2 linked regions of the Arabidopsis thaliana genome follow. The protein of the gene in region 2 interacts with the protein of the main gene of each other region in a pairwise test. Each region holds a gene or a part of one and is shown on either strand. Other genes may lie near its edges. The genes, in order: CHR17 and HB-1.

What was found.
Region 1: the proteins of HB-1 (region 2) and CHR17 interact in a two-hybrid assay, tested with the Arabidopsis thaliana proteins (one study listed by BioGRID).

Annotation. Positions count from the first base shown.
Region 1 is NC_003076.8:6,193,237-6,208,892, forward strand, and holds CHR17 (chromatin remodeling factor17), read right to left. Parts: upstream 8,931-15,656; 5' UTR 8,823-8,930; coding exon 8,610-8,822; intron 8,326-8,609; coding exon 8,194-8,325; intron 8,117-8,193; coding exon 8,010-8,116; intron 7,918-8,009; coding exon 7,805-7,917; intron 7,584-7,804; coding exon 7,486-7,583; intron 7,394-7,485; coding exon 7,214-7,393; intron 7,131-7,213; coding exon 6,909-7,130; intron 6,699-6,908; coding exon 6,564-6,698; intron 6,495-6,563; coding exon 6,212-6,494; intron 6,130-6,211; coding exon 6,056-6,129; intron 5,945-6,055; coding exon 5,724-5,944; intron 5,648-5,723; coding exon 5,560-5,647; intron 5,484-5,559; coding exon 5,390-5,483; intron 5,307-5,389; coding exon 5,118-5,306; intron 5,028-5,117; coding exon 4,993-5,027; intron 4,878-4,992; coding exon 4,801-4,877; intron 4,705-4,800; coding exon 4,615-4,704; intron 4,517-4,614; coding exon 4,447-4,516; intron 4,353-4,446; coding exon 4,298-4,352; intron 4,226-4,297; and 13 more. Other genes in the region: AT5G18610 (Protein kinase superfamily protein), read left to right, coding at 203-402, 475-664, 942-1,333, 1,497-2,135; AT5G18630 (alpha/beta-Hydrolases superfamily protein), read left to right, coding at 9,729-9,801, 10,180-10,259, 10,492-10,557, 10,647-10,694, 10,792-10,859, 10,942-11,014, 11,095-11,259, 11,346-11,540 and 2 more. UniProt on the Arabidopsis thaliana protein: Possesses intrinsic ATP-dependent nucleosome-remodeling activity. Constitutes the catalytic subunit of several complexes capable of forming ordered nucleosome arrays on chromatin. Involved in the formation of nucleosome distribution patterns.
Region 2 is NC_003070.9:9,970,784-9,986,439, reverse strand, and holds the start of HB-1 (homeobox-1), read right to left. Parts: upstream 6,963-15,656; 5' UTR 6,505-6,962; coding exon 6,327-6,504; intron 6,246-6,326; coding exon 5,766-6,245; intron 5,650-5,765; coding exon 5,579-5,649; intron 5,266-5,578; coding exon 4,903-5,265; intron 4,811-4,902; coding exon 4,721-4,810; intron 4,607-4,720; coding exon 4,442-4,606; intron 4,316-4,441; coding exon 4,093-4,315; intron 3,661-4,092; coding exon 3,560-3,660; intron 3,391-3,559; coding exon 3,304-3,390; intron 3,202-3,303; coding exon 3,049-3,201; intron 2,957-3,048; coding exon 2,801-2,956; intron 2,624-2,800; coding exon 2,414-2,623; intron 2,327-2,413; coding exon 1,679-2,326; intron 1,580-1,678; coding exon 1,067-1,579; intron 941-1,066; coding exon 383-940; intron 303-382; coding exon 198-302; intron 104-197; coding exon 1-103. Other genes in the region: AT1G28410 (myosin heavy chain-like protein), read left to right, coding at 7,360-7,498, 7,625-7,752, 8,272-8,319, 8,470-8,583, 9,024-9,074, 9,190-9,246, 9,364-9,522, 9,609-9,689 and 1 more; AT1G28400 (GATA zinc finger protein), read left to right, coding at 12,701-13,708; AT1G28395 (uncharacterized protein), read left to right, coding at 15,007-15,158, 15,252-15,367. UniProt on the Arabidopsis thaliana protein: Transcriptional regulator required for the maintenance of the plant vegetative phase.

The sequences.
Region 1 (15,656 bases), on a different chromosome or scaffold from region 2:
ATAGACATCACTAGTTTAGCAATAGTAGATATGAATTTTGTTTCCTGTTGATTGAAGTTAAATGTGGAAGCTCTTTATCTTTGAACCTGAAAAGTATTAGGGTTTGAGTTGATTATGATTTTTTTTCGAATTTGAATATAGCATGGGTAATGTTATGTGTTCCCTTTCTTGTAAGTACTAACATTTTATTTTATTTCGGTAGATAAATCAAAGTCTCGACGAGGTCCTGAACAGAAGAAGGAGCTAACTGCTCCAAAAGAAGGGCCTACTGCGCATATTGCTGCACAAACCTTTACTTTCCGAGAGTTAGCTGCCGCCACTAAAAACTTTCGACCGGAATGTCTTCTTGGAGAAGGAGGTTTCGGACGTGTTTACAAAGGTCGTCTAGAGACCACAGGACAGGTGAAGTTCGTAAATTGAATTTAATGTTTCATAATCAAGATTCGTCTTCTAATTGGATTTAATATTTTGCAGATAGTAGCTGTTAAACAGCTTGATCGAAACGGTCTACAAGGAAACAGAGAGTTTCTTGTAGAGGTTCTTATGCTGAGCCTTCTGCATCATCCCAATCTTGTGAATTTGATTGGTTATTGTGCTGATGGGGACCAGCGTCTTCTTGTGTATGAGTATATGCCACTAGGATCATTGGAGGATCATCTACACGGTATGCTTAGTGATATTTCCCCACTCTTAACATGGAATTGCATTATTTTCCATAAGATAAGAAACCTTTGCATTTTTATTTGAAACTACCATGGACCGAATCTGTGGCACCGTCTACTGTATTGTAGAAGGATGCTTTGTTGTATTTGATATATTGGGAAAGTCTTTTTTACTTTTCTTAATCTGTTCTTCCAAAGCTATTTATGGTGAATAAATGGAAATATTAGCTTGTAATAGTTCTATCAAGTGCATGTAACGATTAAAACTTTGATTTTCAGATCTTCCACCTGATAAAGAGCCTCTAGACTGGAGTACTAGAATGACAATAGCGGCAGGAGCAGCAAAGGGACTGGAGTATCTGCATGATAAAGCGAATCCGCCTGTGATCTACAGAGACCTGAAATCATCCAACATTCTTCTCGGTGATGGCTATCACCCAAAGTTATCTGATTTTGGGTTAGCTAAGTTAGGTCCCGTGGGCGATAAAACACATGTGTCAACTCGTGTGATGGGCACATATGGTTATTGTGCACCGGAATATGCCATGACAGGGCAACTCACATTGAAATCCGATGTTTATAGCTTTGGGGTTGTGTTTCTCGAGCTCATCACGGGTCGAAAAGCTATTGATAATGCTCGAGCACCCGGAGAGCACAACCTTGTCGCATGGGTATGTTACTCAACTTTTTCTTATATCACCAAAAGGGAAAAATCACAATTTTTTTTGCGCTCTCATGTGATATAGTCAATGTTTGGGATCTGAAAACGTCTTTACTGACTTGAACTGTTTTGGGGGTTCTCTGTCACTTGTTGGTCTTTGCTTGGCTATACAGGCTAGGCCGTTGTTCAAAGATCGTAGAAAGTTTCCGAAGATGGCGGATCCATCGCTGCAAGGGCGGTATCCAATGCGTGGTCTATATCAAGCACTTGCAGTTGCAGCAATGTGTTTACAGGAACAAGCAGCGACAAGACCACTGATTGGCGACGTGGTGACAGCTCTAACATACTTAGCTTCGCAAACGTTTGACCCAAACGCACCAAGCGGTCAAAACAGTAGAAGTGGGAGTGGGCCACCATTTATCAGAACAAGGGATGATCGGAGGAGCTTGGGAGATGGGAGTAGCTTGGATAGTCCTGCAGAGACTCGGAGTCGGTTAGGGTCACCAGCCACTCACAAGAACTCTCCTGATTACAGAAGAAGGGATATGGTGAGGGAAGTCAATGCAGGATCAGAAGGTGGGAGCGAGACAGGAGGCGGGTCAGGTAGAAAATGGGGATTAAGCGATTTGGAAGGGCAAGAATCACAGAGAGGGAGCCCGGCGAGTGTTGGGAGATCATCGAGAGGCACTCCGAGGAACCGAGATTTAGATAGAGAGAGGGCGGTGGCGGAAGCAAAGGTGTGGGGAGAGAATTGGAGGGAGAGGAAGAGAGCTACCAATGGACCGGGCAGCTTTGATAGTACAAATGACTGAAATGGGAAAGATGAAAGCTTGTTTGAAAAATAGAGAACTTTTGTCACTGTGCCAAAAGGCAAAGGGAGAGAGGCTTTGGGTTCATGCGAACATTTTGTCGAGTCGGGTCGGTCAGTTGTCGAATTTGATGTCTGAGTCGAGAAAGAGGACTCTTCAATATTGTGGTTGAAGCTGAAGAACATATGAGGAAGAGAGTTCAAGAAGAATGATGAGTAGTTGGGGACGATTAGGAGGGGAAGAAAAAGTTTATTTTCAGGTGATGTTTTTGGGGTTTTTTTTTTTTTTTTTTTTTTTTTTTTTTTTTTTTTCTTCTTGTTCAATGGGTTGTATATGTAATATGGGAGGGAGGATTCGAGTCGATTTTTATAATTTTTCTGTACTATTTAATGTCTCATTGTGTATGGATTCAGGTTTCGAGTCTACAGACAGAAGGAAAAGAAGAAAAAAAATCTATCTTTGAAAGACTTCTCTTATCATCTACAAATCTACATTTGTCACACTCAATTGGGAAGTTGTGACAACATGAGAAGAGACGAGAGAGTTATGTTTTGTTCAAATCCGACCACAAAAGTTGATTTGAGATTTACTAAAAACGCACTACTAGGAATGTGGTGAATATTTCTACAAACAAAATAGAGTAAAATACACGTTGAAGAAATAAGAGAAGTCGGAGACAATGCAGTGATGCTTGCGGGTACAAAATATTAGATCCTTGTCTCTAAGGAGCTTCTTCTAACTAATTCTCCGATTCGGAATCAAACCTAGAAGTGATCATAAATCTTTCTGATTACTTAGTGATGGATTCAACACAAGCCTTCTTATTTCCTACGCTTTCCCTGCAGAGACATAAAGTTTTTTTTTAGTTAGGATCAGAAATAGATGGTCTGTCTGCTTTGCATGAATTAACCAGTAAAATGAAAAACTCTTTTTATGTTTTGGAAATGATTTTGAGTACCGAGCTCACATAATCATCCATTGACAGCTGCTTTCGTTTCTTCAGAAGAGATGAAGGGCTCTCATTTGCTTGCCTACCCGAAGGTCGTTTTGATGGCGTTGCACTCTGAAACAAGTTGTAGAACAGATCATGAGAAACAATTCCACAGCATCTCATCAGTAAATGAAAATGTAAACTTAAAATGTTCTTCGCACAAAAAAAAAAAAATGTTCCTTCAAGTCCTCACCTTTGAAAGCTTCTTCTCTTTTCGGGCTTGCCTCTCTCTCTCATCAAATTCTTGATTCTCTTTCTCAATCAACCTGATTAGTGTGTCACATCTCCTTGCAAGTTCCTGAGTTGTGCGGGATTTTACAAACCAGTCAAACCTAAACAAGGGGGATGTCCGAAACGCTGCCTTTAGCTCATCCCAGTTTCCATACCCAAGTTTATGGACCATGCATATCTGATAATCACAAGTTCATCGGGTCAATATCATATTAGAATAAAACAATAACAATGAAATCTCAACAAAGAGTTTGATAAATAGATGTCATACCATGAAACGGTCGCACTCTTCATTGTACAGCTTCCCTTTGTTCTGACCATATTGAATCTTCAGTTCCAGCCACGGGTTTCTGTAGCGATCCAGTTTCTTCCCAATAGCTTTCATGATTTCATCTTTCCTAGAGATTCTTGCTTCCCCTCTCTCAATATTCTTGATGATTCTGTCGTAATCTACAATTTTTACAAAGGAAAACAAGAGGCAGAGCTTACTTAGGATAAATATCCAACTTTGTCGCACTGCAAACACTCATTAACTTTACTTAACAATCTAAAGTTACTAACCATTCAGCTCTTTATATCGCACTTGGAAAACTTGAGCATATCGTTCAACCTCTTCCTCAGTTTTCCCTTCCATCTCAGAGGCAATACTCTTTATGTCGTTCCGGCCATACTTCTCACAAGCCCTAATGAAGGCATTGAAGTCTCTTCTGCTCCATGTTGAGAAACCCTAAAAAATATCAACTCCATTAAATTATAAAAAAACCATCAAAAACAAATGTCAACCCACAGTAAGGTCGAATGGTTTGGCTTGCCTCTTCCAGCAATAGCTCCTTTTCTTCCACTTCTTCAGCAGTTAAGGGATCTCCAACTTCTGCAAAATTATTTCTTAAGTAATAGATTCAGTAAAATAATGTAAGAAAAGAGGGCAAAGACTGAGAAAGACCTTCAGGTTCATCAACCTCAATTGTGTCTTTCATTTGAGTTTTCTGATGTGCTTGCTGAAACCAGAGTGAAACAAATTGCTATTCAGAACTAATCAGACACAAAAGCTGCATAAATTACATAACATGTTGATAAACTTGTTATTCCCACCATAAGGTATCGCACTTCTTTTTCATACAGCTCAGTCAGCCTCTGAATGTTAAAGAACTGAAAATCATGCCTGCAGGATGGACAAGAAATTAGATTTTTACGATAAAAGTACTATAAATAAGACAGGGAAAAGGCTAAATGCAGAGTGGAGACAATTGAGGTACTCACAATTGGGGCATGCGTGGAATTCTAGGCTCTTTAGGTTTAGCTGGAGCACCTTGTCGCAACGTTTGCTTGAAGTATTCAACTTCAGAGTAGCTAAAGGGTGGGTAGAGAAAAGTAAATTGTTGAAGTTAGATATTGTTTAGGAAGACAGGATAGACCACGTAATGAAAAAGTAGAAGTAATATTTACTTGCGCTTTCTCTCTCTTTTTGGTGGATCATTCCAATTTTCACTCACAATCTTTTTAAAATCCACCTTGCTCTCATCCTACCAAACAAAATTAAAAAAGAAATCAGGAAACGATATTCGAAAAACTGCAGAGCATAACCACAGTATGCGTTAAACCTTTCCTTCAATCATTCAATTAATTATCCAAGAATACCTTGTTGTCATCGTCAAAATCATAAAAGTCAGCACCTGCAACAAACCAAAAACTATCTTGTTTGGACATCCCATTACCCATGCAAGGGAGTTACCATTGGAAAAAGGGATAAATAGCACACTTACTGTCATCCATTTTAAACTGTATTGCATCTTCAGTAAATTTCTTCATCTTGGCATCAAGTTCAGCCGTTGCCTCTTCTCCTTTGGCAATGATTCTGTCAATATCCTCATCCGTAATTGTGCTATCTTTAGAACTAAACACCATTTCAGCACCATATCTCACCATTTGAAGCAACTCATCCTTATTAACAGCTGGAAAGCAAAGAAAAGAAATCAGTATATATATGTAAGAGAAAATCCAATACATCTAACAGCCTCAGTACACAAGCACTTACTTTTCTGTTCTGCCAATCTCCCTTGCTGAATAACCAGAGCATCAAGTGCCAACTTCTTGTAAGCTCTCTCAATGACTTTAGCCTCAATAGCATTCTGCATAAGACCAATGCAGAATTAGTTCAAGTTCTCCAGGTCATTCTTACTTCATACACATGGGTACAAGAGTAACCTCGGTGCAGAACCGGAACACTTGAACTTCTTTTTTTTGACCAATCCTATGTGCACGATCCTGAGCTTGCAAGTCAACTTGAGGGTTCCTGCCATAATCCACCCACCTCATTAGGCATAAAAGAAAACACTCATAAATTACAATGGACACAAAAAGAGCCTTACCAGTCACTATCATAGAGGATCACAACATCTGCAGTAGCAAGATTGATACCAAGTCCTCCAGCTCTAGTGGATAACAAGAAAACGAATTTCTCACTTCCTGGCTTGTTATAGGCTTCTATGGAAGCATCTCGTTCGTCACCACCAGTATTTCCATCAATACGGCAGTACTGGTAACCACGATACATTAGGTAATCCTCGAGAATATCCAAAAGCCTTGTCATCTGATACAGATGAGCAAAATCGTTGGAATAAGCACAAAGAACCAAGAAAGATATCACTCAGAAAAAAGGAATCAAAGATAGGAACAATTATTTGTTTGCGTTAATGAATACCTGAGAAAATATCAGAACCCTTGAATCTCGATCCTTCAACTTAGGTAGCAATTTATCTAAGAGAACCATCTTACCTAGAAACAAGAACATGTAAAGAGAAAATAACTAAGCCAATTGCCACATTTCTGAATGATCTACTTGTAATGTAAATCTTACCTGCGTTTGTTACAAGGTGATCTCCTGTAGTATATGGGGGACCAGGCTCCGCACCCTGGAAGAGATAAGGGTGATTGCAGCATTTCCGCAATTGCATTGCTATGTTCAACAGACGTTTGCGTTCTCCACCACCATTAACCACTTCAAGATCCTTCTGCAGTAAAGCCTTGTAGTACTGTTTTTGCATTTGAGACATGCCAACTTTGAGTATTGTCTCCTTTTTTGGAGGTAAGCCTTTCTCTACATCTGATTTTAACCTCCGAAGAAGAAATGGTCGCAGAACCTACAAAGATGAGGTAAATGATTAGCATAAGAACTTAGAGAATAACCTTGATAAAATATGAGTACATACCTTGTGAAGTTGTTGAACAACTTCTTGCTGGTCGTTTTCACCAGAAATTTGAAACCACTCGTCAAAAGTTTCTGCTGAACTAAAAACCTCAGGGAGAAGAAAATTGAGAAGGGCCCACAATTCATGGAGATTATTCTGTAGTAGAAACATATGAAATGAATACAATATTAACTCAAGCAAATCAAGTACAGAAGATAGTAAGAAGCATGTCTAAGGAACACGAAAAGAAAAAAAAACTAAGTTCAACAGACTCAAGCAAGAAAGTAGTTTCAACATAGGCAGAAGCAATCTGACAGAAAAATTGAAGGATCTAAACAATTATAGATCAAAAGATTTGACAAGTACCTGAAGGGGGGTTCCCGTGATAAGAAGCCGATAGTTGGTGCTGAAAAGTCTCATGGTTTTCGAAAGGAGTGAATTCTCATTTTTAATTCGATGTGCTTCATCAATGATTATATATCGCCAGCTAAAACGGCGCAATGTTGTCTTCTCTTTGATAGCCATCTCAAAGCTTGTTACACAAATGTCGAATTTCCCTGCAACTAGCAGTTCTTCACGAATATGTCTCTGCATTATTTAAAATATATCTCAGAATCCTGCCAGGTGCATATAAATGCAACCATTCAAATGTAAGAGCTATTATGACTTACTCTTTCCTCGGGATTACCGAGAAATTTCACAGCACGCAGGACAGGACAAAATCGGCGAATTTCATTCATCCAGTTACCAAGGGTTGATTTTGGAGCAACTACCATATGAGGGCCATTAATTCCCCTGTACTCATGCAGGTAAGCCAACAAAGAAATGGTTTGAAGCGTCTTCCCCAGACCCTAGACCATGAACAAAAACAATAAAGATTAGCATCAGATAACATTAGAGAGCTGAAAAATCTTATTATATGCTAAGATAATTAGTGGTTTACCATTTCATCTGCAAGAATCCCATTTATGCCGTTCTCATACAGCCGAATGAGCCAGTTTAAACCAGCTAATTGGTAATCTCTTAACTTCCCCTGAATACCTGCAATATGAAGAGTATGAAGATCAGATCTCTAAATTCTACAGAATTTATGCAGTCCTACCTAGAAATTGTGAGCTCGCAACTGAAGAATATATCAAACAACTCTACCAATCAAAGAAGTGGGCATAAGGTGTCAAATCCTATAATAACTTCGACTCGCAATAGGACTTGAGCAAACATACGCTATATCAAGATATTAGGAGCAAAACAAAGGTACTTACAAGCGGGCTGAGTGAGCAACCGTGTGCCTCCAGATCCAACTATACCACCCTCTTCTTCTTTTAAACACTCTTCATCTTCCTCTTCCTCGGTTAGTTTGGAAGAATGGCGACCCCTGACGATAAAGTGAAACCCAATAAATTATATTTCTGGAAACTTAATATGAATAACCACAATTTATTTTGAGATAAGTTGCACTCAACACACCTTCCTTTTCCCTTCTTCTGGGACGGAGACGGGTCACTTTTAGCAAAATGTGCAAATAACTCAGTTTGCTGCAGAAGATACTTTATCCTCCCCTTTCCTTTATTGTTCTAATAAATGGAATGATTGAGTTATTTCAATACCTCTGGATACTAAAGACAAGCAGCTCAGTTATTTACTAACTTACCATATCAGCATCTATGGAAGCATTTTGGGAGTCTAAGATTTGCTGAATTTTCTGCTTCTTCATCTTCTGCATTTCTTTGAGTCTAGCCTTCTCACGTTTGCTGATCTCAGCTTTCTCCTCGTCTTCTTCGTCCTACATATAACCATCAAATTATGAAAAGAGTGACCAAATATCCTCACGAGTCACATGAATGTACCATCATAATGAGCGACCACCCATCATTGTAAGCACTTCTAAGCATAAACCTTCAAACAAAGAGAGTCGAAACCAAAAGACACCCAAATATCGAATATACGCTCAAAGGAAACCCTAATCTTACTTAGAATACATTCAGATTTCCAAATACAGCAATCCCCGAATTCACAGCCGACATGCGAATGTAAATCGAAGAGTGGAAAACAGAAACGAAGACATACCTCTTCAGCGTCATCTTCTACGGGGACAACCTCGTCGTCAGAGACAGGTGCTTCGTCGGGCGCAACATCTTCCTCGTCAGAGCCCGCAGAGCGAGCGACGGCCTCGAGCTCGTCATCATCTTCTTCCACATTGGCCTGATCGTTAACTTGCTCCTCTTCCTCCGACGAGTAAGCCTCGTCTGAAGAAACTTCCCGCTTCGAAGCTCTAGCCATCGACGCGCCTCTACGAATCCTGATTTCGTCTGAGAGATCGAATCGAGGGTTCCTGAGTTTTTTTTGCTTTGGTTAGTAAATAAACAAAAGTGAAATTAAAAGCAACAAACCCGACGTTTGAAACGACCGTAGCTTCTATTTTACCCCGTTGATTTCGAGAAATCAAATCTACGGCTGAGATGTGCCACGTTGGCTTGACTTATAAAGATTCTCCCGCCACTTGAGAAGTAAGAGTTTCGGAAATTCCCGCCTTGGAATTCGGGCTTTAAAGGCCCATGGGCTCGAAGTTAAACTTAGAAGAAAGCGAAAGTCAAAAAGGTCAACTTCTCGTTCTTATAACGGAACGGCCTTATCCATTTATCCGCCCGAATCACGTATCTGACACCTCAGCACTTGAAGTTGCGACACGCTACACACCTAAAATTCCAATAATACCCTTTGAAAGAGCCTACACGCTTGTCTCATGCACCTTTGCGTATAGAGGATGAAAGTGGAAGTTAAGAAAAAAAAAACCGAATATTCGTATTTTAATCGCCGTTTCTTTTCTTCTATTAGCTTCTGTTTCGCAAGATCACGACTTCTATATAATAATATATAAGCTCGCCGTATAATTTTCTTGCCGGGAATAATCTCCGATCATCGTCGGAAATTTCCGAATTGTTGTAAAAGAAGTCCAATTTAGGCTTTGGATCCTCAGTTTAATTTATCTGGGACTTTTGGTTGCTGAAATCTCTTTCGGGTTTTGTCCTAATCCTCATTAGTTTGGGTTTCGTGAGTCTCGTTTTATAAGGTATATTTTTGGCTAATTTGCTTCCGAATTCTGCTTTGTTTTAGCTCAATTTTGCCCTTAACATTGGTTGATGAACAGAGGATGATGTGGTTGTGTTTATTGTCTTCTTGCAGAACATGGGACAAAAGAGATTGTTGTTCTTGCTGGCAGTTTTTACTTTTCTTGTTTCATCTTCATATGGTAGAGGTGGTAATGCAACTTCTATAATGATTCTATGTCTGTTTCCTTTATTGGGACTTCCAGTTTTTTTATTCTCCTGAGTCTCTCTGAGCTTAATTAAGATTTTAAACTTTCTGTGTAATGTGAAGTGCTTGGGAAATTGGAAATTTAATCTGGCTACAGTGATTTTTCATTAAGGCCTAATTACATGTTCTATCATGTTTGGAACAAATCAATTCATAATCCTTGTAGCATCATCATATACATAAGGAACCATGAAGGTCAAAATATTGATTTCAAAGCTTTATGTTTTCGACAATTTCATGTTCTTGGTATGAGTTGTGAGGCTACGAAGGAGTTAAGACTGAAGCAAGTGGATTTATGTTAGCTTCTTTCTTCTAACTGCAGTTCTCAAGTTGAAGAGCGATGATGATCGACCTGTTTACAACCATACGCTTGCCGTCACGCTTGTGGAGTATGCCTCTGCGGTAAGTTAATGGCAGATTAGTGAAGTAGTAAAAGACCTTTGATAATGATTTAGCTTCAAAACGTAATACCCTGTAGAACGAATGTCATTTATATCTAGTGTTCTGCAAGTGAGAAGAAATTACACTTGTCCTCTTCATATTTTCATTTATCATTATTTGCACTACTAGAGAAAAGAGATGATGCTGATAACGTACATAAGATGAGTGAATCAAGTTTGTAAGATGTATGCAGGTCTATGAGTCTGATTTGACAAAACTCTTCACTTGGACGTGCGAAAGATGCAATGGTTTGACAAAGGTAAAAAACACATGTTGAAGCAGATCACTGTTTGAACTTTGAAGCCGCAATTATTGAGTTGAGCTCTAACGTTTGTTAGGATGGTGCAGGATTTCGAAGTAATAGAGGTCATATTTGACGTTGAACACTGCTTACAGGTCTGCTCTGATATCATAAGCTACAGCTGGTCATGAACTCATGATGTTTCTTCATTGAACAATTATTAATATCAGTACATGTAACTTGTAACAACAGGCGTATGTTGGGGTGGCTAAGGATTTGAATGCTATCATTATTGCATTTCGGGGAACTCAAGAACACAGGTTTTATTCTAGTCATTGTAATCTAAAAGCTACTCCTTCGCATAAACTTGGTTAATGCTTAATCAATCCAAAACTTGTGCAGCATACAAAATTGGGTCTCAGACTTGTTCTGGAAACAGCTCGATCTGAATTACCCTGACATGCCAGATGCAATGGTACACTTTAACAACAAGTATTTGTCATTGAGTTGGTCTTGTAGTACGGTGGAATTTGTAATAGTTATCCACATTGGCAGGTGCACCATGGCTTTTACAGTGCTTATCACAATACAACTTTACGGCCTGCGGTTTTGGATGCAATAACACGAGTGAAAAAAGTCTACGGGGCGAACATCAACATCATAGTGACCGGTCATTCAATGGGAGGAGCCATGGCTTCCTTTTGTGGTCTAGACCTAGTTGTAATCATCCTTGCATTGAATTTTTTTTTTATCTTATTGTTTTGTCCTTTGAGTTGTTAATGGCTTATATTGGATACAAATCGCAGGTAAATGAAGGTGAAGAAAACGTACAGGTTATGACATTTGGGCAACCTCGTGTTGGGAATGCCGCTTTTGCATCTTATTACAGTTTGCTTGTGCCCAATACCTTCCGGATCACGCATGACCGTGATATGGTTCCTCATCTGCCTCCTTACTATTACCATTTCCCTCAAAAAACATACCACCACTTCCCAACAGAGGTAACATCACTTTCTCAGTGCACTGGATGTTTATCAGAATAGCAGTTTTAATTTTGCAAAAATCTGGAATACTCAGTAGTGATCAGACAAATTTCTCCGCTTGGTTTATTAACTTTCTGAAAAAACGAAGAAAGCAGTAATGGTGTGTTCCGGGATGCAGGTGTGGGTGAAAGATTTCAGTTTTTCGAATTTTGTTCTTTTTGGTTTGGAGAAAGTTTGTGACAACACTGGTGAAGATCCTACTTGCAGCAGGTAACTATCAATCCCTCTGAAACAACTTACTGATATAATTTCTCTCCACTACATTAGCAAGAACAAACTTCCAAGTCGAAAATTGTGATCGTAATTTACTACCAGATTTCACCAGAGCGATGGCTATTGGTCTTAAATCGTTACAACATGCATATAGGTTTTACATGAATCCAGTATAACTCTCTAGGCAATTGTTGTTTCAGATCGGTAAGGGGAAATAGCATTTCTGACCATTTAAGGTACTTTGGGGTAGAGTTGAAGTGTGAGAGTTGGAGACAGTGCAGCATAGTGATGAATCAAGATATGGAGCGTTACAGCAGGAAAGATTCAAGGGGTAACTTATTCCTCTCGCGGACAGTTCCTCCTAAGGACGTAGTCAAAACAAGTTCTCTATCGAAAACCGGAATCTCTAGTCTGTAGGTATATGTTGATCTCAAGTCTTGAACAAGAGAAAGCTCGCTGGAAGAGGAGGTTTGGGGGATTCAATGTGTGGAGGAAGAACAAGGGTTCTTTGATTCTTTGTGATGGCAAGAGAAGGTGAAAAAATGATTCTGTAAATAAATCCTACGTTGGTAGCATGTAAAATCTTTTTCAATTTAAATGTGAATGAATAATCACATTGTACAGTAGCAGATTCCGAATTCTTTAAATTTGTATCCATCAATTTCTTCTGTCAATTATTAATCAAAGTACAAACATCATTTTACTTAATAGTCAACAGCTTTATTACCAAATTATTTTTGCAACATATTTGAAATGTCTTTTTAATAACTAAACATATTTGAAATCGCAGGTTGTGTTGGGAAAGTGATGACTGTGGAACTAGAAAAAATCTCAAGCACAAGACTATATTAGGGTTCAGGTGCTCCTTGATGTTCGAAATCCTTTGCGTAACTTTAAGGAAGTTCTGCTCCTACCGGGTGAAATGATATCAGTATCTTTTGATTTTGAAAGGATTCGGAAAAGATGTTTCCTTTGTCAACGTCTCACTCATGAGAAAAGTGTTTGCCCCTTTGCTACTGTAGGAAACACTAGAGATTCAGAGGAAGATCATAGGAGTGTAGACTCAGGTTTTCTATTTGGAAAGAAATGCTTACTGAAACCAGGAGAGATGATTGTTCCTACAAAGTTATCGTCTATCTCCACTCACCAAGAATATTCAATATTGCCGGAGGTAAATGATATTCCAAACCATGAGACTGGTGATTCAAAAAGATCTAGTCATCCTTCTGGTAATCTGGACTATCCTACATCTAAAGGATTCCTCTTTGGGTTTAATGAGTCTGGTTCATCTGGATTAAGTATTAAGCAGAAGAATCCAAGAAAAAGAAAAGCTCTTTTAGTTCACAAGAGGCAAGATTCTTTCGCTGGTATAAAAGAGAAAGAGGTTAGTCTTAATATTGAGTTTGCTTCTGCTATCAAAAGGAATAAGAAAATTACAGACTCGGAAAGATCTGATAGTACAGTAAAGTCTCTCATTACGGTGGTTCCTCAAGAACCACCGCAGTATCAATAAGACATCCTTAGTTGGAATTGCCAAGGACTGAGGAACCCTTGGACAATTCGGCACTTGAGGGAAATGAAAAAGGAATATTTCCCTGACATCTTGTTCCTCATGGAGACCATGAATTCTGACCTGTTTATTTTGAAAGTTTTTAGGTGGTTGGGTTATGGTTACTTTCATACTATTGAACCGGAAGGAAAGAGTGGTGGATTAGCAATATTTTGGAACCAACATCTTCATATAGAGTTTCTTTATGAAGACAAAAATTTGCTGGATTTGGAAATATCTCAAGGATGTAAGAGATGGTTTATCTCTTGTGTTTATGGTAATCCAAGGCAGAATCTCAGACACTTGCTTCTGGATAAAATCAGTAACATTGGTGTGAATCGAATGGCAGCTTGGAGTCTGATAGGGGATTTTAATGATATCTTGTCTAATAAGGAGAAGATAGGTGGCCCATCTAGAGTAGAATCCTCCTTTCAGGACTTCAAGAATATGTTATCAACCTGTGATATGCATGAACTGAGCAGTACTGGGAATAGTTTCACTTGGGGAGGGAAAAGAAATGAAGAGAATGGATTCAATGTAAATTAGATCGCTGTTTTGGAAATTCACAGTGGTTTTCTTTGTTTCCTAATTCACATCAATGGTTTTTGGAGAAGCTTGGATCAGATCACAGACCGGTTTTGGTGAAATTTGTCAATGATCAGGAGCTTTTCCGAGGAACTTTTAGATTTGATAAAAGATTTGCTGAAGACCCTCAATACCAAGACGTTATTCACAAAGCATGGATAGGTAATATTTCTTCTCATAATTCTTCTTCTATGCATCGACTGGTTGACTGTAGGAAATCTATTAGTCATTGGAAAAAAGGGAAGGATTATAATGCTGAGAATCGAATTAAGAGGTTAAGGTTTGAATTGGATGAAGAAAAGAGTTACCAATTTCCGTGTTGGAACAAGATTTCTGTTATTCAAAATCAGTTGGGTATTGCCTTTAGAGAGGAGGAATCTTTCTGGAGATTGAAAAGTAGGGATAAATGGATGGCTGGTGGGGATAAGAATTCTAAGTTTTTTCAGGCCTCTGTAAAAGCTAATAGAATTAAAAACTGCTTGAGTTTTCTGGTGGATGAAAATGGTATTGAGCACACTCTCAATAAGGAAAAAGGAAAAATAGCAGAACAGTTGTGGATCTGTTCACCTCTTCTTATCCTGCAAATATGGATTCAGTCTTGGAAGGTTTTCAGACGAAAGTTACACAAGATATGAATCATGATCTCACTCAGAAAATTACAGAACAAGAGATCTATAATGCTGTCTTTTCCATTAATGCTGAAAGTTCACCAGGTCCTGATGGCTTCACGGCGACTTTTTTCCAGACTCATTGGAATTTAGTTAAGAATCAAATTATTGCAGACATTATGGGTTTCTTTGAAACAGGCATCCTCCCTGAAGATTGGAATCACACTCATTTATGTTTAATTCCAAAAATCTCAAATCCAGAAAGAATGAGTGACATAAGACCTATCAGCTTATGCTCGGTTCTTTACAAGATAGTCTCCAAAATCTTATCAGCTAGACTGAAGAAACATCTGCCAGCCATAGTTTCACCAACTCAATCTGCTTTTGTAGCTGAGAGGTTAGCCTCTGATAATATTCTCCTGGCTCATGAGATAATTCATAATTTAAGAACCAATGATAAGATTTCCAGAGATTTTATGGTGTTCAAAACAGACATGTCTAAGGCTTATGATAGAGTAGAATGGCCTTTTTTAAAAGGTATTTTAAGGGCCTTGGGGTTCTGCAACCAATGGATAGGTTGGATAATGGGATGTGTCTCTTCTGTTTCTTATTCAGTACTGATTAATGGTCAACCTTACAGTCATTTCTTACCACAAAGAGGTATAAGACAGGGAGATCCGTTATCACCTTTTTTGTTTGTCATCTGTACTGAAGCTCTTACTCATATCTTAAACCAAGCTGAACGATGTGGAAAAATTACTGGAATTCGATTTAATGATGCAGGTCCTTCAGTGAATCATCTATTATTTGCGGATGATACTTTGATCATCTGTAAAGCAAGTCAAGAGGAATGTTCTCAGATTATGCATTGTTTATCACAATATGGGCATATTTCAGGACAAATGATCAATGTGGAAAAATCTTCGGTCACCTTTGGAAACAAGATTGAAGCAGAAACAAAAGATTGGATTATGCATAGATCTGGAATTCATGTGGAAGGAGGAACTGGCAAATATCTAGGACTACCAGAATGTTTCAGTGGCTCAAAACAGGTTTTGTTTGGCTTTCTTAAAGAAAAACTTTTATCTAGACTCAATGGTTGGTATGCTAAAACCTTAT
Region 2 (15,656 bases):
GATCATCAGCCTCAGCGTTAGCAGCTCCCAAAAGCTCCTTTGCCGACATAAAATTGGATGACAAAGATTCTTTCTTGATTGCACTCTCTAAGGAAGTCAACACCTATCAAAACCAAAAAAAGGAAGACATCGGGTTTAAAACAAAACATCATTCCAATTTGCATTAATTTAGAGAAAGAAAAACAAGATGATGGAACCTGCAAAAGTTCTCCAGGTGATGATGAAGTATTCAACCTAAACCCCCATTTTTTTCTTTGGTCCTCTGTCCAAAATGATTCAAGAGCTTCATCTGGAACAGATGCCTGTCAATAAAAAGGGAGTTGTCAAGTGTTGGTACCAAAAGAACCGGCGCTTAAGTCGACAAAAATCATTTATGCTTTACCTCGAGAAAAACAAGTAGTGGTTTGAGCAACCTGACTCCAAAAGGAAGAGGAGACACAGCCAAACCTGAATCTAATATCTCTGAACTATCAACCACGTCCAATCTCTGGTGACAAGAAGAGCAGAAGGTATACTCAGACAAATAGGAAGCAACACACGCGTCACATGTTGCTAACAGTTCAGATCTCTTCTTCCCATATTTTCTAGCACAAGAAGGTAGTGAACTGTACGTCTCGGTCCACATCCATCTCTGGAAATCATGGAACCGTTTTGATAAATTCTTGTTCTCGGTGTCATTTCTACCTAAATCAACTCTAATTGAAGTTGAAGTTTCCATTGAATCAGAGTTTGACCCTGATATAGCACTGGACGATGGGCTCACAGAATCTGTAGGAGAATGATTCACAACACTCTTTTCCGTCAAGAAAGGGTTTCTAGCTAGCTTTATATCTTTACAAGCATTCTCTTTGAATGATCCCTCGATCTTCTGCAGCATTATGCGTAAATGAGACTCTCTGATCCCACGCATATCCAATGATGCAACCAGAATATCAAAAGCCTACACAGAACAATTTCACAGAAGGCATGGTTAAATCTCTATCTAAGCTGGATATTAGCAAACCAAAAGGCAATCAAAAACCTTAAGCTAGAATCTTTTAACAAATTGCTGAGGTTGTTATATTACCTCTTCTGAATCAATGAGGAGCCACTTGCCATCATGTAGCTCAACAAATAAGAGCCTCGAACAAGGATCACTCTTAGACACTGATACAGCAAAATGCCAGTAACGATTGTGGCGCCGATCTTGTCCAAGCGGCAAAGATCGGTATGGATACACCTCTTCTGCTTTGTGGCCTATATATGACTTTAATTGGGAGCGTGATCTCTTTGAAGCATAATTTTCTTGACTTATATTGGCATCCTGATTAATAAGTGCTCTCTCAGCAGATGATTTATGAAGATCGTTCGAAAGATCTTCCAGGGGCTTTGTTTCATCTAGAAGTTGAGAAGGGTCTCTATCAAAACTATCCCTCTCACGAGTAGAGCTTTGAATGATTGGTAGGCCTATCGTTGATTCAGTTTTGCTGCTTGCTAAGTTTTGAAGATCAAGCTTAAGTACATCTCTCATACAGCTGTTATCTAACTGTGCTTCAGCCCACATTTGCTTTTTAAGAGCATTTGCTGCTTCCATACGATCCTGTGAATAAATTTCAATCAGATAACAAATAATAGACTCAAAAGGTCAATTTCTACTCTGTTCAACAGGAAAGCTGATAAAAGAAAACCCAGACTTTACCTCAAGACCTGTTCTGATGGAGTTTCCTTCATTGGCAATGCCGACTAAAGCAACAAGGGCATTAAGGCGCTCTTCAACACTTAGATGACAGTAATCCCCTTCCGTAAGACCTTGAATCCATGATTGGCCCTGGTTGCTTTCATCAATTACGGCATCCACGCCGCCAACCACTGTATTTTTATGCCGCTCACTATGTTGTGGAACAATGCTCTTCATAGTGCTTGGAGGAGGAGATGAAAACTCCTTCTCAAGCTCACTCTTTACATCTGCTTTAACATCACAGAACATTGTATCTACCCCCTTTCCTGACAAAACATTCGCTTCTCCAAGAACGGCACTTTTTGATGCACTTGCCAGTGTAGCTAAATCATCAACCTCGGGATCCTCATCAATATCAATTTCGAAGTCTTCATCCCTTTCAAGATCATTCACATCTTCTGGACCTGTAAATCCATTTTCAAAAGCCCGTATCTTCTTCCTGGCATCTGCGAGTATTGCCTCTCCATCCTTAGGATCCTTCACATAAGGAGCTCGTACACAATAAGTCGAAGGAGCTATTCTTTCAAAGAGTTTCACATCTCTTGTCAATGCAACAGAAATAGAAGCCTCTGGTGTCTTGCTTGTGGTCAAGTCCCGAAGTCCAGATTTCTTTCAATGGAAAACATAAAGACTATGTAAATGAAAAAAATTCAAATACGATGAAAACAGCATAGCAAATATAGATTATAGATTTACCTGAATCTTGTCAGCAAGTTCTAATACTGTCAGTCCCTTGCTTCCTTCAAGAGATAGAACATGAAAGGCTGCAAATTTGACGGTTCCAGGTGTCAACCGGTGCCTCGACTTGCGAGGAGCGAGCAACCCTTTCTCCCGCATCGATGCAAAAGCACTTTCAGCTGCTGTACCATTTCGGATAGTAGAAATGACATCTTCACAACCTTTAGCCTGCATACACAACCAAACCAAAACAATGTGTAAGAAAAAACGAAAACCATCTTTATGTCAAAGGCCTAGCTTAGCTTCCAGGATTTCATTTTTATTTCTCTCCATATATAGTACTACCATCACATCCTGAGTAAACACTTGTTAGGAGTTAGGGGGCGCCCAAACGTGAATACGTACCTCATCCTTATCACCAGTATTGGTCAATCGGGAATGTTTTTTCTTCAGCTTAGGTCCAAATCCAGCAGAGAGCGCTAATTGTCGCAGTATTTCAGGCCATGTTAGTGGGTTCAAATGCTTTTTCCAACTACGAATGTCAAAACCCCATGCATAAGCCTGAAGGAGAAAGAAGCATATGAAAGATGAAGCCCACTGAACAAAACCAGCAAGAGAAAAGTATATTAACATACAGAGACGAAGAAAGCTACCCCTTCAACTATTTGCGGATGTCCACCCTCAGGATTGGCTGTAGTATATTGGTTATTTCCAATTCCACTAAAGGGTGTTCTAGCAACATCTTCGACATCTCGTATTATTGATCTCAGAAGAGTAACATGTATCTCCCCCAGCAACCTTGAGTCCTACAATAGGATCTTTATCAAATACAGAGCACGAACAATGAAATGAAAGAAACAACTATAGAACACGAGAAAACAGGCTATAGGTACTAAAGAGCGACTTACATAGTCATGAAAAGCCTGAATAAACTCATCCAGTGTAAAAGGCCATAGGTCAAGAACATCAGAAAATGATATCAGGAATCTCCAAACCTGAAAAGCAATCACAACATAAGATATGTGAAATCTGCAAAAGGGTGCATAATACACGGAAAAACAAATCCAACTGATTTCAAATTGGTCTCCAAGTTATTCTGATCATAATACTAATTTTAAATGAGAGGTAGCAGCCGGAGAGAGGGTAAAGATCAATACAACATACCATTAGAAGGTTTCCAACAGTTTCATCAGAATCTTTCCATGGAGAAATGGCAAACGGCATTTTTAGTTGCAAAGACTTTGGTGGAAATGTGCTCAGAGAATCTGAAAAAGCAGAATAGCTATGATGAATTGCAGGAACCATAAATAAATTACAACACTGTAATAAAGCTAAGCCAATCGAGTAAGGTATAAGCAAATTACTTTGACTGTCTTGATTTTGATAAGTATATGAAGAAGATAGATTTGTAAGAGAAAGCAAATACAAAAGCTACTACCCAATCTAGAAATCAATGTAATTACAATAAAATAATCTTCGCAGTGTTCTAACATGCTACATCAACATTGAATATTCCAGACTAGGCCATAGAATATACCAAACTAAGAATATAAAAATTAATACTAAGCTTAAAATTTCAGAGAGGAAAAACACTAAAATAAATTACCAAAAATTATTGATTGTAAAGCCTAAAAACTAAGTAGACCGTTAGGCCGTGATTACCAAATCCACTACTAACTAAATCTGAGAGACCATACCTCTATACACCTCAAGATTCTGCAATGTGTCGTGATCAAGCTGTAATACTGAGGGTAATCCTTTGCTAATAGCAGCCAATTCCATTAGTTCTAGCTGCTCATCTTCAATAAGATCCATAGACTCCTTGGCAATTCTACGTGCAGTTGCCTTCTCAATGGCAAGCTTGCGTCTAATAGCGTCTTTCTCTCGACGAATCTCGTCTTTTTGCTTCTTTTTCTCAGCCTTTAACATGTCAACAAAAAGATAATTTTCACTCTCTGAACTCTTGCCACAAAAGTTGCTCAATCTCAGCAGGATTAACAAAAAAATACCAAAGAATAACAACTGGGCAGAGTTTTCCAAACTTACCCTTTCATTTTCTCTCTGTAAGAATTTTTCTCTTCTTTCTACTTCACGACGCTGCTCACGCTGTAACCTTTCCTCTTCTTTTATTCTTTCACGCATCAACCTCTCTTCTTCCTTACGCCTCTCACGCTCGTTCCTTTCCATCTCTTTTCTCATGCGTTCTTCATTCTGAGGACACAAGCATCAACTCATCAATATATCTGTTACAGTGATACTAACAAAAGACAATAAGACACCTTTCCAAATAATCAGTAAGGAGGATAATAAATGTAGAGCAAATACCTTTTTCCTCTGAATTTCTAGCTTCTCAAGATCTTTTGGTCCATGATTCTCTCGGGTTTCACTCCCTCTTCCAAGTCTACCATCGTTAATCTGTGAGAGTAAACATAGAAAAATGACATTACAACAAAGACACATCTTGTCAACAAAAACGGATGAAATAAAAGTTGGTACAATGAAGCTACCTTTCCCTTTCTATGCACATCACTACTCTTACGCACTCCATCAGGTAACAAATATGGATCTTCTGTACCAAGGACTGATGAGTCCTTCTCCAGCAGGAATCTATCACCATGATGCGCTGATTCAATGGGGCTTGGCATGTCTTGTTGAGATGTCGAACAGTTACGAGACGCATGTCCAGGGGTAACATAGGACCTTGGTACAGGTCCATTCGCGTGCATAAATGATGAAATTCTAGAACGTGCAACTTCATAGTCCATACCACGTGCATGATTTTCAGAGTATCGTTCATACATATTAGGTGTAAAAGAAGACGGATCATCCAGAGATTGTTGCTCATGGAAAGAACGGGCAGCAGCATGAGACTATAATCAACAAAAGCAAATATGTTAAGCAAAGTAGTAAAAAGAAAATATTATAAAACTGTGAATACATGAATGGACAAGAAAGAGAATAGAAACAGCAGAGCGGAATTCATCTTTCTAACAATGATCAGAGACTAAAAACTGCCATAAGACTAATGTCAGCCTTCATGTAATGAGAACTCTAAAAATTACTCCTACCATATAATTCATAGACCATCAGTTTATGGTAACCTCTTCAACTAGTCAATTTGAGATATCTAGGTGCATTATAAAGAAACTAAATAGAGCATATCTGTTTAGTCAGAAAACTAACTCTTCGAGGTCGGGGATCATGTCGCTCATACAGATCGCTCTCATAGGGATGAAGTAGGTGTTTCTGCATCGCTGAAATGCCAATGAAAACAAAGTTAGAGAGTTACTTATCACAAGAAGTGTAATACTAACACTGACATTGGTTACACAAGTCATAAAACAGGGCAAACATAGAAAGTAATGTATACCTATAGGTGTTCCAAACGCACCAGGAGGCAAAGGATCAAACTCCATGCCAAGAATAGGTCCATCATCTCTCAATGGCTCACCTAACTGAGCCTCAATACAGACAATAGCTCTATGCACCATTGTCGACAACCGCGACTCATAACTCGGCTTTCCCATTGTCTCATATTCATCCAATTCAGCTCGAGAACTACTACTACCACTAGCAAAATTCCTCCTAGAGTTGGAATAAGGACTGCAACCAGACTCAGAACCCGAATCAGATCTGGAATCTTGCTCAGGTACCGATCCAGCAGCAGCCGGTAACTCGTTAACCGAAGCCGATTGAACCGCAGCAACCGATGATTTCACCGGTTTATTAGACTGACCATCCTTCTTGTCCTTTAACCGTCTATGACAAAACCACATCTGTAATTGTCGATCTGACAAATCCAATTTCTCAGATAACTCAGCCCTCGTCGCCTCCGACGGATACTTCTCCTCTGAATCAAAAATTCAACATCAATACTTAAAAAAACAAAGAGAACGAAGATTGAATCAAATTAATTGAGATGAATAAGAACCTGAATAAACTTTCTCCAAGGTTTCAAGCTGAAACGGAGTTTTCATCTGACGTTTAGGCTTGACACGACCATCCTTAGAGGAGGAATTATTATCAATCTTCTTCTTCTTATTATTAAGATTAGCATCACCAACGACGCTCCTGATCTTCTGATCTTCACCGTCAGAACCCATCTCCATGGAAAGAGAAGAAGAAGAAGAAACCCAGAAACGGCCGCAAGAAGAATCAAAGAACACAAAAACAAAAACTAGGGCTTTCTATTGAACAAACAAACCCTGATCCAAAAACGTAAAAAAATAAAAATAAAAAGAAGTAGAATATATAAGAGTAAGAATAAGAAGAAGAGGAAGAACAAACAATAATAATAGTAAAATCGATAAAAACCAAAAAGGAAGAAAAACAACAACAGGGCTTCTAGTAGTAGTAGTAGTAGTACCACTCATCTCAATTTCAACCTCCTTCATATTCCTTTCTTTTTTTTTGCCTTTCTTCTTAATTAAAATCTTGTTTTTTTTTGTTGTAAATGAAAAGAAAAAAAAAATCGAAACTTGAGGATTCTACAGCGAATCGCGTGCTTATGTGTGTTTCTGCCGTTGATGTGTTTATCAAAGCTTTTTTTCTTTTTATTATATAAATCAAGTTAATTTAAAACTAAATTAATACAACAACTCTTGAAGGGCTTTAACGTGCTTTTGGTCTCGTGTTCGTGTTGTTGTCTTTCAGATCCGCAGGCTGGTTGCATGATTATCATATCCCCCAGATTTTTTTTTTGAGGAACCACTTGTGTTGAGAGTAAACATCTTGCCCTTTATTGTTTTCAAGTGTACAGTCCTTGTCGTTTTTAAAACCGGTTCAATACTTCAATTCAGATTTTTTAATCCCGGTTTACTCGCCGTCCCTATGAATCACAGAGGAATCGAAAGAACCTTTACGAGGAAGCTTTGACTCGAAATCTCTCTGAAGAAGAAGAGGAGAGACGAAACTGTTGGCTTAGTTTCCGACGCCGGGAACGTCGGAACTCCGGTGAACAGAGAATGGGGCTGCATTTGGCTGCTCTGTTTTTCATCATTTCACCACTCTTCGTTTTCTCCTCTCAAGTCCAGCAGCAGATCGGTTCTAATCAGAACTTGATCAATGATCTGGACTCAGCTAAGCTCAGAATATCTCAATTGGGTAAAGTTTGTTTCTTTTTGTTCGTGGTGGTTTTGGGTTGAACCACCAAGGCTTCTCTTTTTTCTTTTTCTTTTTGCTAATTGTATTGTTTTGTTTGCTGGGAATCGATTGGCTCTGATCGTGTAGAAGCTGTTCTTGAGGCGACAATACAGAAGTTGGATGGTAAGACCCTTTACTTGAAAGAGCGTGAGAAGTTGATCCAAGTTGCTGAAACTCAGATCCTTGATTTGCAGTCTGCTTCATACATTGACAAGGTTGGTTTGGTTCTCTAAGGAGAATGTATTGAACATTTAGTTATGTTAAGTAGAATTAGCTAAAAGGCTTTAAAAATTTCCTCTGCTGATGAGGGAATGAATGTGGTAGGACACTCATTAGATCGTATGTGCTAGTCTGAGGCTCTCCTATGATACCCCCTTTCTGAATAATGTTTACTTGAGAAAACTCAATGCCCTATTGAGCTTAATCATTATAGTTGTAGCTGCCACTTCTGTATAGTTGCCACACCTTTGTTGTAGGATGTCTAAGTATTGGTGATACGAAAACTTGCCTGGTTGTATGATAAGTACTCGGCTCGTAATGTTTTATCCCTCTTCTAGTTGTATTTGAATCAGTTTATAAACCCTTAGAAGATTGTACTGAGTTTGATTATGTTGCTGCTCTTGAAGTAGGGTCTTTGTTTCTTCTGTTTGGAGCTAGTTTCTTATCTGAAATGTATATTGTGCCATCACTTTATCATGGTAGTTGCATTGCTAACACTTGTTATTTGATCTCAGAGCGGCTTACCTTTGGTTCAAAAGAGGATAAGCGAGTTAGAAGAAGAGGTCTGTTCAGTCATGTGGCTATTCTATTCTTTAGACTAGTTCTCAAAATGTTTTTTTCTATTGGTTTATTTCCCAAATTGTGTTCTGCCAATGCTGGAGCTACTTATTCTTCAACTCCACTAATCTAAAGAACAGGGTTGGCAATGGTAGGTGAAACTTCTATGGGCTGCCTTGAGAACAACCAACTTCGAGCTACACGTTTTAGAGGATAAAGCAAGAGAAGCTAAGAATAAACTTAAAGCTAAGGCTTTGGAAGTTGAACAGGTGATTATTGGCTTTTCTTACTTCACCCATTCCTTTAATCTTCTATCCAAAGCAGAAATTATTAACTATTCTTGGTAGTTCAGAATCATCTCTAAGTTCACTTCAGTTTAATTTCTACAAAAATTTTGATAGATTCCTTTAAACTTTGAATATATATGTTTGGATCTCAGAGAACCAACATAAATCGGCATAAAACTTGTTGTTGTTAGGTATTTAAGCATCTATTAATCTATGTAACTAAATTTGTTATGTGTAGTACCAAATTACCCCACTTTTGTTTGGTTTTGTCCTTGTCTTGTTTTTGTTTGTCCCTTTGATGTGGTAGCAAATGAAATCTGTCTGTTTCTGATATGTTTGTATGAAAATGAGTTTTAGATTGTTGCTGTCACCAAATGCTTCAAGCTCTTTTGGCACTGACCTACTTCCTTTATCATTTTTAGATGACAGAAGTTGTTACGGAGCAGTGGATTCAGGTTCAACATCTTGAGCAGGTTTTTAATTTTTGCCTTTAAGTTTCTTTCGCTTAATGCAGTTGAATCTTGTGAGTTGTGACCAAGTGGGGTATAAATTCACGTCACTGATGATTGTTCCTATTGCATCTTGAAGATGAGAGAATTCAATAACCGAAGGCATCACACACCTAGCAGATGCCCGTTCGTGAAGGTAAATTTCAAATCCAGCTGTGGACTCCCAGTGATATGAAATCTGAGGAATAGACAATTAAACCGTCGTTTAATAATCTCATAGCCTCTCATTTCTCCTTTGTGTATCTGTATTTAGCTCATGAGCGATATCCAAAGAAAACATCTGCCCAAAGTTGATGAAGCATTTGACATTCACTGGAAGGGAAAGAAGGTTCTCTCTGTGCAACCGTATCTCACAAAAGCCCTGTCACAGTTAAAAAGCCTCTGGGCAGCTGTTACCAAATATCACCACCAGGTTTTGTTTCAGATAATCACATTTCACAATCTCCAGTATTTAGATCGAATGAATCTGTAACCGCGCTTTGCTTTGATTCTTTATAGTTGCAAGGCTTCATCGAGCATGAGATGGAAAGAACCGAGATCACAGCGGCTCTCGCAAACAGAGAAGTGGTGTTTTTCATGGTATGTCAGTTCATATTTTTCAGAGCTTGTAGATGGTTTAAATCAATGTTTGATTTGTCTGATCCTTAATCACATCTGATTAAAAATGAAATCTCCAGGCATCTGCACTAATTACCTTCCCAGTGTTTGGAGCATGGATGTTACTCTCTTCCTAGTTTGGTTTCTGGATGACATGTTCAACCGATGCATCAGCAATGTTCAGATTGGTTTTGCTTCTCATTGCTCAAGAAATTGTCTAGTTTTAAGCTTTGAGATCCGTAGGATAATCCTAGTAGGATCAATTACATCCGTGAACAAACCAAAATCCGGTTACTCTGTGGTTTAAAGTTTAAACCAGTTATTATGGGGCAAGGTGCACAGTTGTATCCAAGTTCAATTGTTGGAAATTGAATTTGTTATTGAAAAAAGAGACAAAACCAAAGACATGCAGACAAAAGTCAAGTCCTTGTTCGTTGTTTTACCGTTAGATGTTTGTCGTAAGTAGGAGTAGCCTTTGTATGGTTTAACGTGAGATGATTTTACTACATGTAGTGTAGTGAAAGTTTATATATACAAGACCACATTATTGGAAAATGAAAGTTATTTTACTAACAAACAAATTCCTTACACATTCTCACATTCTCTCTGCAAGAAATTCAGAAATTCCATATTGTAGTACAATAGATTGAGATCAGTCATTCATTTTTAGTGTGAAGCTAATCAAAGATCAACCTCTCTTCAGGATAATGTAGGACAATAGGTTGAGATCACTCATTCATTATTATTATCTTGGTTTAGTTTATACATTTTCAGCATAATTTTCTTAACTAGTTGTTTGGAAGTTTGATCTTTTTCATTATCTAATAAAATGAGATGACCAAAAAACAAAAAAAACAAAAAATCTTAATATAACTAGTTGTTATTGTAGCATGGAAAACTACATTTTAGTATGTATCCCTTAAATTACAATAAGTCGAGATTGTTGATGCAATGGTCCTACAAAGTACAAAGCTCGACTACTCCCACCACACGACCTCTCTTTTGTCGGTCCCATTCCGCTAGTCACGCCACAAAATCTCCCCAACACTTTCGAGTTTTTGTCTTTGATTGATTGAATTAACCTCTTTTTTTTTTGGTCAAACCATTATTAGTAAATCTTCCACTTTGTTTTTTTCTTTTACCCTTTTTATTGAATTTGGTACTTTTATTTTCATCATATCCTTCTTTTATTTGTTTTTAAAAAATGATACAATACATGCTTTCTTAGTTATTTCAATTTCAAAGAAGGAAACATGCACTTTATTCTTCTCATTTATGTTGGGAAATCCTTTTAGCTTTTAAAATGGTTGATAAGCTCTTTGTATGTCTCTACGTCTGAAAACGTGAAAATACCTACTCTCTCATACTCATCCCCGCAAATTACTCAATGTTGCTTGACATTATAACTTAATAACATTTGTCTCTTTTTCTCCTTTTCTGTTGACAATTTTTTTGTTTGCTTTTTCTATAAATCCTAGTATATTTTGTTCATATATGTTATCTACTACATGGGAATCTAATTCAAAAAACAAAATTCGATATTTTTAATACTTTTTTTTTAAGTGCATATCTTAGATTGTAGATGTATTATGAGGAAAGAATAAGATACATGAGGACATATAGAGTCAAGAAATTTAATCACTGACAATAGAGACTAGAGAGATTAGTGGCTTAGGGTCACATGATATGTGTATTGGTGTCTCCATAGTGATCAGTGGGATTGGGGCAATTCCCACTAACCCTCCCTCAATCCTCGCATTATTACTCGCCTCTCAATTCCTCCCTCTTTGTTTTCTTTTTAATATCCTATTTTCTTTCTCCTTTTTTGGACATAGTGAAACCACACCAAAGAGCAACGACGACAAAGTTTTAGTTTACAACGATGGTTCATGTTTTGATGGCTCATTCGCCCTGGCTTCTTGTGTTAAGTTATATTGAGACAGTGAAACAAAAATTCACATAGTAACTTCAGATATCAATGTTGATCGGACCAAATACCCCAAAATCTATTATTCTTGTTTGCTCGTATTATAAAGCAAGAATGATTACGAGTAGTACATGATGATAAAGATTACTGAATTTACTGGTGCATTTCAAATCAGCTTTATATAAGTGTGGTTTTGTCTGACCATCCGAAATAATCAAATACTATAAGTTTGCTTGAAGATCGGGAAAGTTGGAGACATATACTATAAAGTGATTTTTACATAAGAAAGCATCTCGAGGCTATTCAATGATCAACATGACACTGTTATGTCGATTTGTTAGGGGTAAAATTAGGAAGAATAATGTTTATAAACAACACACATTTTTCTAGCTTCTCCATGTTTTCTCGGAATACTAACAAAATGTTTTCTTTTATTTATTTTAACTATGATTAATTAAGGTACTTAATTAAAATAAGTAATTTTGGACGAGATGTATCTTCCAACTAATGCTACCAATATGAAAACTTTTATGATAGGACTTGAATTTTGGTTCCAACTCCTAAGCTGCTAAGCAACAATGAGTGTGACAGTATGATACGGATGAATGGGAAAACTACAAAAGCCTTATCTGTTCCTAGTCCATATTTGTTGTGTTTCCAACAAGACTACTAAAATACGATCCATGTTCTCATCTCAAATAAACTAGTCGATAATTGTAATTTGGTAAAGTTAACAAACCAAAAGGATGGTTAATAACCTTTTTCTGATAAACTAATCTTATAGGCGAGAAAGCTGAGCTACCTCTTTGAAAAATCATCTCATCCTAATGGACCCACCATCAACCATTATCACCTATCCAGTCCCCATTTCCACCTAACGACTTCAAATTAAAACACATTAAAAAAAGTCCACAATTTCTAAAGAAAAAAAGGTAAAAGAAGAAAGAAAAAGAAGCCACAGAGCTTAGAATCTTTCAATATATATAAGCTCACACTAGCTCTCAATAAACCCACAATATCTAATTGTCTCTTCTCTTCTCTCTATCACACTACTACTACTCACATCATGGCTTTCTCCACTAGAGGCTCCCTCTTATTCTTCTTCACTACACTTGTTCTTCTCTCCACCCAAATCCATGCAAGAGACAGTTACTTCTTTGGAAAATTCCACAGAGAATCCCCCAAAGATCAAAACCCTAACAGTTTCATCCCTCTTGAGACTAGCGAGAAAACCACAGTAGAAGAATCCGTCCTCAACAAGAAAGAGCAAGAACAAGATCCTACCTTTGTCCCCGAGTCCGGAAACGGGTATGGCTTGTATGGTCACGAGACCACATACAACAACAACAACGACAACAAAGAAGAGTTCAACAACAACAACAAGAACGATGAAAAAGTCAACAGCAAGACTTTCTCCACTCCAAGCCTGAGCGAGACCGAAGAGTCTTTCAACAACTACGAGGAAAATTACCCGAAGAAGACAGAGAACTACGGCACTAAAGGTTATAACAATGAGGAGTTCAACAACAACAACAACAAGTACGATGCAAACTTCAAGGAAGAGTTCAACAACAACAAGTACGATGAAAATTACGCCAAGGAAGAGTTCAACAACAACAACAACAACAACAACTACAACTACAAGTACGATGAAAACGTTAAGGAAGAGTCTTTCCCCGAGAACAATGAAGACAACAAGAAAAACGTCTACAACTCTAACGCTTACGGGACAGAGTTAGAACGTGAAACACCGTACAAAGGTTACAGCCACAACTTGGAGAGACAAGGCATGAGTGACACAAGGTTCATGGAGAAAGGTAGCTACTACTACGACCTTTACAACGACAGAAACCACGGCCATTACTACCGGAAGTCACACAGTAAAAGCCCCGCCGGTTACTATTCTTCTCCCGCGACCGAGACTAACTACGAACAGCAATCGTACTCGTACGGAAACAACAACGAGGAGAACAGTTTTAAGGATCCGTACAACTCCAAGTGGGAGAAGAACTTGATGAACGAACAGCCTGAAGAGTTTGTTGAGGAGCAAGGCACTAATCAGTTCAAGCCTTGATGAAGATTGTTATTTGATTTCCTCTCAAGACTACTACACTCTTAAAAGTACTTTCTTTTATTTCAAACTAAGTTATATTACTTATCGTTGTTTAGTCAAACTAAATCGTTGTTATCATTGCAAAACTTAAAAGTGAAAACAAAAACAAAAAAGAGAAAGGAGTTTTTTTTTTTTTTTAGTTAATCGGTGGGTTTGCTTTTCTATGGGTTTTTGAACTTTGATGTTTGCGTTTGCATATATTATTCGGTGAAAGAAAGATAGTTTATATATATGGTGCTACTTTATGTTATTATTCTCTTATGTTAATTTAATCACTTTTTGGTTATATTGTAAAAGATAATTTAGATAAAGACTGTATGGATCTCCCATTATTAAAATGGGACCAAACGTGACTGCTTACAATGATTTATAATGGGGGACATGAAGATGCCTCTTCCTCCTTGCGTAAGTGCAAAAGAGAAAGTAATAATTACTTGCACAACAACTATTTAATCTTATGGATCTAGAAACATATATTACTCCACTTGATTAAATCGAAATGTTGTCGAAGCCACAAAAATCTTCTCAAACATGTGCCTTAATGTTAGCTATAATCTCAGCCTTGAGATGGATACATTAAGCCTTTGTTACATTCAATCGCGTTTCTTGCTTTCTTGGCATCAATAGGAGGGAAAATCTGTTCTCTGTACATTCGTTTATTGAAAAATAGTAAACAATAAGAAGTTTAGTGTAATTGGTGGTAATATGGGTGGAAAAGACTAACAGAAACGCCGGGACAAGTAAAAGACAACGACACTTCCAAAGCACTTAGCAATAAGAATCCATTCTCGAGTCTTTTACGAGGAAAAGAAGAGTCCCCATTCCGTTAATCACGGCCAACATAAAGGACAAACTAAAAACCTCTTTTCTCCTTTCCTGGATTTATTCACCTTTTCTAAAATATATTTTAAAATCATTACATGAATATTAATATATTACCACCATGCCGAGAAACTATTTTAATTTATTTACCTTTTCTATAAATAAATATTTTTTTTGTTAACTATTTTTTATCATAATGTTTACTAGCTATTTTTCTCAATATTCCGGTAAAACCAATTAATGTAGAAGAAAACTAGAAATTACGGATTTGACACGTGTCACTTATCCGCAGCAAGCAACAGTTTCACAGAGCTTCCTGTAGGTGCAGCTGCATCAGATCCCTCCCTTACGCAAAACCCTACGCAAAAGCCCTAAACTCTCTCTTCTCCAAAAATTGAACAAAAAAATAAAACAAATCCAAAGATCCTACACGTCCAATGTCCGCCGCAAGGTCCGTGTTCCGCTCCGCCGCAAGCCGAGCATCGTCCACCGCATTTAGATTCTCCGCCGGACCCAAGCCTATGCCGTCATCGGCACGGACCGCGTTTCGGATGCCTAAACAGAGTCCTCTAACAAATCGCATTTTCAGGTATATCTTCTTAACACTGATTTGGTCTCTTAGTTCGTTTTATTCTCCGTTCTGAAATTGTTTTGGTTTTGCGAATTTTGTTTGGAATGAAAGATCTCCGGTAGAACTAAGCTGTTGCGTGGAGACGATGCTCCCTTACCACACTGCCACTGCTTCCGCTTTGCTCAATTCAATGCTCTCAGTTTCACGCCGTGGTTGGATCGTTGATGGTACTTCACTCTCTTCTCATTGCTTATTATTCTCTATATTGTTTAGTTTCTTGATGATAGAATAAAGTTTACATGCTTAGTTGTCTGGTAAATGAAATGCACAAACAAAAATGCTTAAAGACAAATGTGTTTCATTTTTTCGATAGGTCTCTTGATTGAATTGAATTGAATTGTTACCGAGTTTGATTTGATTTGAGTGTTTAGTGTAGTCTTTCGTGTGCATGTTTTAGTGGAGAGCTTGCTAAGAAGAAACCTCTTTGTTGTTGAAGATGTCAATCATAGTAGGATT